Linked DNA regions of Mytilus edulis. The protein of the gene in region 1 interacts with the protein of each later gene in a pairwise test. Links are inferred from orthologs where the notes say so. Each region holds a gene or a part of one and is shown in the gene's direction. Other genes may lie near its edges.

Evidence for each region.
Region 2: the proteins of MYCBP-associated protein-like (region 1) and c-Myc-binding protein-like interact in binary tests that used the Homo sapiens proteins (3 or more experiments, as listed by UniProt). The link is inferred for Mytilus edulis from reciprocal best matches to the Homo sapiens genes MYCBPAP and MYCBP.

What each region holds. Positions count from the first base shown.
Region 1 is NC_092344.1:110,248,372-110,252,306, reverse strand, and holds the start of MYCBP-associated protein-like, read left to right. Parts: upstream 1-1,567; 5' UTR 1,568-1,691; intron 1,692-2,095; 5' UTR 2,096-2,108; coding exon 2,109-2,271; intron 2,272-3,935. UniProt on the Homo sapiens protein: May play a role in spermatogenesis. May be involved in synaptic processes.
Region 2 is NC_092353.1:10,607,604-10,611,538, forward strand, and holds the start of c-Myc-binding protein-like, read left to right. Parts: upstream 1-1,341; 5' UTR 1,342-1,458; coding exon 1,459-1,473; intron 1,474-3,935. UniProt on the Homo sapiens protein: May control the transcriptional activity of MYC. Stimulates the activation of E box-dependent transcription by MYC.

The sequences.
Region 1 (3,935 bases):
TACAGTTAAGCTGTGCTACAATTAAAAAAGTAATCTTAGTAGCTGTGCTACAGTTAAAATAGTAATATTGGTAGATGAACTACAGTTAAAATAGTAATTATAGTAGCTGTGCTACAGTTAAAATAGTAATCGTAGTAGCTGTGCTACAGTTAAAATTGTAATCTTAGTAGCTGTGCTACAGTTAAAATAGTAATCTTAATACCTGTAGTACAGTTAGAATAGTAATCTTAGTAGCTGTTCTACAGTTAAAATAGTAATTATAGTAGCTGTGCTACAGTTAAAATAGTAATCATAATAGCTGTACTACGGTTAAAATAGTAATTATAGTAACTGAACCCCACTTAAAAAAGTAATCATAAAAACTGTACTACAGTTAGAATAGTAATTATAGTAGTTGTAAAGCATTTGAAATAGTAATTATAGTAGCTGTACAACAGTTAATATAGTAATCATAGTAGTTGTGCTACAATAAAATGAAAGGTTACAATAATAGCTGTACTACACCAATAAAACATTAAAAAATAATTTGGCAATATAAAATAAAAGAATTGAATGTTGTGTTTTTAAAAATATAAATGAATTAAAATTAGGAGACCATCACATTTTTTAATAGAAGGTTGGAAGTGCTGTATATTGAATGTAATTTAGAAATAGATAAAAGCAATAGTCATATCCTATCATTTACAATGTTTAAAATACAAAATTTTTGAATATATATATCGTAAATTTGTATTTATAATTTTCAATTAGTGTTTTTCTTTTATTTTTTTTTCAAAAATGAGGAAAGATATTATATTTTTTTATTTATTACCTTTACTTCCAGTCACATCTGTGTTACCCTTTGCCATCTGAAAAATAAAATTTCTCATTAAAACCAGAGTTGTGTCCATGAAAGGCTTGTAATATAGCAGACAAATATTGACATATTTAATTGCTTTTCACCACTTTATTTAGGGGTATCAGAAAGGTTCATTAACTATTAGATATAGAAATTTTGGATTTCTGATCAAATTCCATGCTAAAAATTAACACATATGAATTGTTCATTTTATGGAATTTTTGTAAAACAATAATTAACAGTAAACTTATCCCTTAGAAGTATGTTTTGTACCGTGAACATTTGATCTTTTTGGTTCTTTTTCGAAACAATATTTGTTTAAAAGATAAAGTTTTGTCATTGAGTACCCATCAAGGTTTGTGTAAATGGACATTAACAAAGAAACCAATAAAAGGTAGCACAATTAACTAGTGTAAACTTTCTGAAATCTAATGGAACATTGTTTATTCCTTTAAATAATTCAATTCACAAAATTTCACTTATAATAGGAGTCATTATAGGCAAATCTAAAGGGTTAGAAATAGCCATATCAAATTTCTGATTGTATGTAACAAGAATTAGAATTTTATTTGGTCAGAAAAAAACCAATATTTGGACAGAACCTTCATTAGTTATAGTATTTTAATTCAATACAATATTGTGTTTACTCATGTATATGAACTGAATGGTGTATTGTTTTGCATGGTTGTCACTTAAACCTTTGAAGTTCTTTGAAGGAAATATTGTTTATACACCAAATAGAAACCACTATTTAGTTTTTAGTTTTTTCTGGCCAAAATTCTGTAAGGATTTCCTGCAGTTTGTTTACATGTTAAGTTTGGCTATCGGATATTCTATTGTTTTCTTACATAAGGTAGGTTTTGAAATTATAGTCTGATGTAGGATGCAATTCATGTATGATGATAATATTTTAAAATAACATTAAAAAACGTATAGAAATTAAACATGACACAATCTTCATTAAATATTTTTAAATTAATTTTGAGAAAATAAAACCTGATTTTTAAAAGACTTTAACAGAGAAAAAGGCTTTAGTAGTAAAAATAATTCTATTTTATATTAAAGTAAAAATTTTTTTTATAATATTGTAGTTAGAACTTAGATCATATAAAGTATGTTATTTATCAAAGATTTTATAGATCTGTAAAGTTTTAAATATTGATATCAGTTTAATAAACAGGATTTTAAAAGTAATTTATGTGATGATAAATGGTAATAAAGATGATAGAAACATTTTAATAAGGAAATATTCCACAGCTGATGATCAGAGATGGCTGGGATTGGAAGAGCTACTTCTTTACTTAAAAAGGCATTTGTAACTAACTCAGGAGGGGGAGAGTCATCAAAAAGGAATAATGGAAGTTCAGATGATAGTGGGAAAAAATCCAAATGGGGCGATACAAACAAAAAATTAGCAGTTTCTGCGTTGGTTGGTAAGGAACTAGTGATACATTTTTTTTTATTAAGGACAAGTTTGAACAACACATATTTATACATTATACTTTCTTCCAACTTGCATATACATTGAAGATGGCCCTTTGCTTTATCAATTTAACTTTTGGGAATTAAAGTAGTTTTTCCTGATGATAAAGATTGGTCTTTTTTTAGCAGCATCCTCTGTGGAAGATGCCAGTCGTGTAATCAGCTCCTCCAGTTTCTTTAAATCTCCCAGGACATTGTATTCCTTGTTTTTTGCAAATCACCTTTTATAACCAATTGATTTTAAAGTGATCTGGGGATTAGTTTGCCCACTATGGTATATTTTCTCATTTTTGATGGCTGTACAGTTGGCTTAAATTTCTAGCATTAACTTCATTCCACCATTAAAGGATAATAGTTGTCTGATTGGCAATCATGCCACATCTCCATATTTTAATACTTAGATAAGATGAAAAAATAATCATGAATAAATCTAGAGTGTAATGGTTAAAATTTCAGATTTAATCTCTATACTCCACACTGTGTCAGCGCAGAGACTTAATTTTGATTAGATAGAATAAAAGTTACTATGACAAGAAATAAAACTTGATTGTCTCCCTTATATCATATGATCAGAGGATGTTTTATTGATAAGACAGAATAAAAGTTACCAGTCTTGTATAACTAGTTTCTAGTTTACGCAGCATGACTAAACATAGAGTGAAATGAAATGGTCCATTTTTTCTGGGACTCAATTTTTTCTGTTTGATTATAAGTTTTATAAATGCTGAATTGAAACATATGTAACATTTAGATTTTTAGAAAATCTTGCATCTCTTTGGGGATATCAAGCTAGGAAAGTGGAAGGATATTATGTTACTGCAAGTGGTTAGGCCTAGTAAAAACAGCAAACAGAAAGTAGAAAAAAATAATTTTGACTTCAAGATTAAATAACTTTTTATTCTTGGTGGCATGACCTACTTTTTCTTTCTAGATTAAAACACAATTTGACATTACTACATACATGATATGAACATGAAAAAAAAATCTATGTAGCATTTCATTTAAAAAAATTCAAAGATCAGCTGTTTTGCATGTACTGGTAAGCCTATGGAGCAGTCAGTTTCAAGACTGCAACCAAAAGTTACCTTAATATAAAAGTTAGAACATGATTGTCTCCCTTATACCATATGGTCAGAGGATGTTTTGATTTGATGAGTTGAAATAGGATTATCTCCCTTATGACATATGGTTAGAGGATGTTTTAATGTCAATTTGTAAAATACATAGATTTTTTAAGTAAAAAAAAAACTTTTGACAAAGTCATATGGTGGATATTGAAAGTAGCCCTTCCACAATAGCATTTCATGTTTTAACAACTTTTATATGTTCTTGCCAAATATTGCAAAACAGATAACCAGTATTACAAAACATGAATAAATGGGAAAGTGGTGTATATAATCTAAGCAAAATACCTTTTAGATGTCCAACTCTAGAACATAGATCCCTGGTCTAATGTTCACATCTAAATGTTCATTGTTAAACATCAAGGTCATCTAACTTTAGATTAGCTCATAGTTTGCAAGGAATTTTGGAGAGCTGTCTCATTGTCAATTATACCACATTTTCTTATTTTTACGTTAACATATGATGGTTTTTCAAGACCTCCACATTCCCC
Region 2 (3,935 bases), on another chromosome or scaffold:
GTAATACATTTTTCATAATTAAACACTCCAATTTTGTCCCTATTGACATTGTAACCGGAGAGCATAAGTTTCATTACAAAATTGCTTGTCTCCACCGTGACTCGAACCGATGACCTCTGCCTTACAAGACAATGTGCTAACCGATTGAGCTAAAGAAGTACTTCCTTAGCTCAACCGCTTATAGAATATCTACCGCATTTTCTAAGGGAAGCAATCCTGTCACACTTCCCCAACCTCACGAGTCATCATACCATTATGACTCTCACACACATTACCCTAGCTAGAATTCCTCTCTAACTTATGTGGGTTTTTTAGCTGGGCGCCAATGTAACCGGAGAGCATGATTGATTGTTGGTTGCTTTACGCCGCATTAGCACAAAAAGGCTATATCGTGGCGTCCGGAGTGCATGAATTTCATTACAAAATTGCTTGTCTCCACCTGGAATCGAACCCCGAGACCTCTGTGTTACAATGCAGTGTGTTAACCGACTGGGCTAAAGAAGTACTTCCTTAGCTCAACCACTTATGGCTGACTAAGTATCTATACCACATTTTCTAAAGGAAGCAATACACCTTATCTCTATTAGCCTTATCGGCCGGCTGAACCAGCCGCTTGAACTTTTGACGCATACAACAATCACTTTTCCATTGTGGCTTCAGATATTTTATTTTATGACGTCAAAATTTTACGGGAACCAGTGTGATATCCAGTAATGGCGGACAAATAACGATAAGGTGTATCCCGTCAAAATAGTAATAGTATAATTTGTTCCTGTGTAATCTATTCAGCAGTTTGCACTTGATTTATGAAGGGTGAGATTGTCTCTGTAACTCTGTGACAACAGAAAAAATAAAAAATGAAAATAAGTCAAGGAATGATTGAGGGCACTGACTCAGTGACTGAGGCAGTGCTGGCCTGTCTCTTTAAAAGACTTAAAACCGAAAGACCCTTCTTCTTCTTGCTTTTTCATACATGTCAGGAAAGGGGAAAATAATCTTAACAGTGTCATAAAGCAACCTAAAGTATTTAGTAATTCATTTTTAAAATACCGTTGAATAATTAGAGAAACACCAATCATTTTGAAAATGCCTCCAAAACTCAAAAACAGACGATTTTTTTTCCTACATTTTTCGGGTCTTTTCATCAAACAAATGGATAAAGCTACAAATTCCGAAAAACGGAAGTTAAGTTTGACCGTACAAACTAAATGATAACTACTTTGGCATTTTACATTATAACAAGAAAACATATTATTTTCTTCCGCAGTTTTACATCAAACCAATCTTCATTGAACTTTTAAATTTGACTTGATCGTTTATCACAATTGTAAAGTTTTATTTGAGACCTGTTATCATCTAGGTTCTTCACCGGTCACTGCGCATGTTACCGAAACCTTGATAGCAACCATTCCTAACTGGACCTGTTTGAAACGAGATTGAAGAACAACATCAGACATCATGACAACTTACAGGGTATACTTTATTTCAAAATTGGCGTAAAATAGTCTTCTTCTCTGTTTAAATAACCGTATAGTTTCAATGGACGAACTTGAATCAAATACAGTAAAACTAATTAAAAACTAAAGGTGACCCAGGACAGATTTTTCAATCTTTTCTGAATAATTCTGTTTAAAGTCATATATTGCAAATTAGTTTGACTGTTATTCTATTCTTGTTAAAATATTGGAATAAAGTATAAAAGATGTGTTTTGGTAATTAGAAGAAAAAGATAATGGGATAAGTTTGTTATGAAAAAAGGAATGTCTTACAAATTCAAGGAAGTTATATCCCAGCTTAAATTAATGTTGCGGTGCAGTCCGGTGTATCTGCACACCTAAGACTTTTGACTTCACTTCATTCAACAAATAAAACCAAAAATTGGATAAAATTGTGTGAACACTTCATAACATACTTTTATTTTATAAAATCTTCTGTTTGTATGGTTTCATCCTCAGAATTTTTAGTAATGTGTGTCCAAAATTAGGGAATCCCCTTTTCTGAGAGTTCCTCCAATGTCTGGTGATTTCTCGCATGCCTTACAAAAATAGGTTATTTTGAATAAAAGAAAGATTTTATACTACTAAATGTAGCTGAATTTGAACCAAACAGTGAAACACACTGCCAAAGATGCCAATGGATGCAGAGCAAAAAATTATTTCATATCATAATTAAATTTGACTTAGGTAAAACAAATTTTATCTGATGATGTATTTTTTTAATGGAAATTGACCAAATATGGTAAATCAAGGAATTGCAGTTATTAATGAACTCTTGAACTTATCAATTTTATTCTTTTTTTTTCCCTTCAGAAGGCTTAAACAATAACAAGAATGATTTTATTTATATTAATGTGTTGATATGATGAAATCAGCTAATGTGCGATATCACAGGCTGTGGGGACTCCACTGTTAGTGTAAAGTCAGTTGTGGTCTCCAATTTTTCAGAATCAAAGTAAAAGACTATAGAGGTATAGGGGAAGGGTTACGATCTCATAGACCTGTTTAACCCTGCCGCTATTTTGGGCCTGTCCCAAGTCAGGAGCCTCTGGCCTTTGTTAGTCCTGTATGATTTTTAATTTTAGTTTCTTACGTATTATTCAGAGTTTAGTATGAGGTCCATTCTCACTGTACTAGTATACATATTTTTTAAGGGGCCAGCTGAAGGACGCCTCCGTGTGCGGGAGTTTCTCGCTACATTGAAGATTCATTGGTGGCCTTTGGCTGTTATCTGCTCTATGGTTGGGTTGTTGTCTTTTAAATCATTCCCCATTTCCTTTCTCAATTTTATGTGTAATTTTATTGTGAGTACAACAAAATTGAAAAGATGTTCAAGTCAATCAGTCTGCACCAAAACTTTACCAACTTCTACTACATTTACTTCTTCTAATCCAAAGACTTAACGGAAAAGACCAATATTTTGCCATTTTTCATTATGTGTCTGAACAATGTTTTGCAAATACTTGCTAGTCCAAATAGAATTGTTCTAGTCTGGGACATTGGATCAGTGGCGAACGGTATAGACAGTCATTGTTTAGGATGTTTTGAACAAATTATAGCAATTGAGTGTACTGTTAGATTTTGAAAGTATAATTCGACAGAAAGAATTACTCCATTAGATTCTGACACAGCAGCGACAAGAAGACAAGTTTAGCAACTAGAAGTCAAATCTAGCATCACACAATTTTATAGTCTTATTCAAACAAATAATGTTAAAAAAAAAATACAAACTTAATGAATTTAAGTTTAGTTTTTATGGCCCCGCCACTAAGTGGTCGGGACATATAGTTTTACCCCTGTCTGAAATTCCAAAATTCCGTCATTCCACAACAAACCATTATACAGAGTTTTTTTTGAAAACCGCTTCAGATATTGGGCTGATCTTTGGAATATAAGTTCTCCATGATGAGTTACAGATCAAGTTTAAGTTTTGTTCTGCTTCGCTAATTTTTGACAAAATTATGGGCTTTGGACTTTGATAAATTGTTGAAAATCACAGTTATACAGACTTTTTTTCTAAACACTTTCAGATATTGGGATGATTTTTTGGTTTGTGAGTTATTCATAAGTTACAGATCAAGTTTAAGTTTCGCTGCTCTGCTAATTTTTGCTGTAATTTTTGGCTTTGGACTTTAATAAAATTTTGAAAATCGCTGTTATACAGACTTTTTTTCTAAACGCTTTCAGATATTGGGCTGATTTTTGGTATGTGGCTAACAATGATGAGTTACAGATCAAGTTTAAGTTTTGTTCCACTCCGCTAATTTTTTCTAAAATTAAGGGTTTACAACTTTTTTCTATACGCCTCCAGATTTTTAGCTGATTCTTTTATATGTGAGACTACCATCATGTTTGTGTCCACATGTGTAATTGAAATTGCAGATTTTTCAATTTTTGGAGATGGGGCCATTCGTGTCGCTTTGACACATCTACATGTAG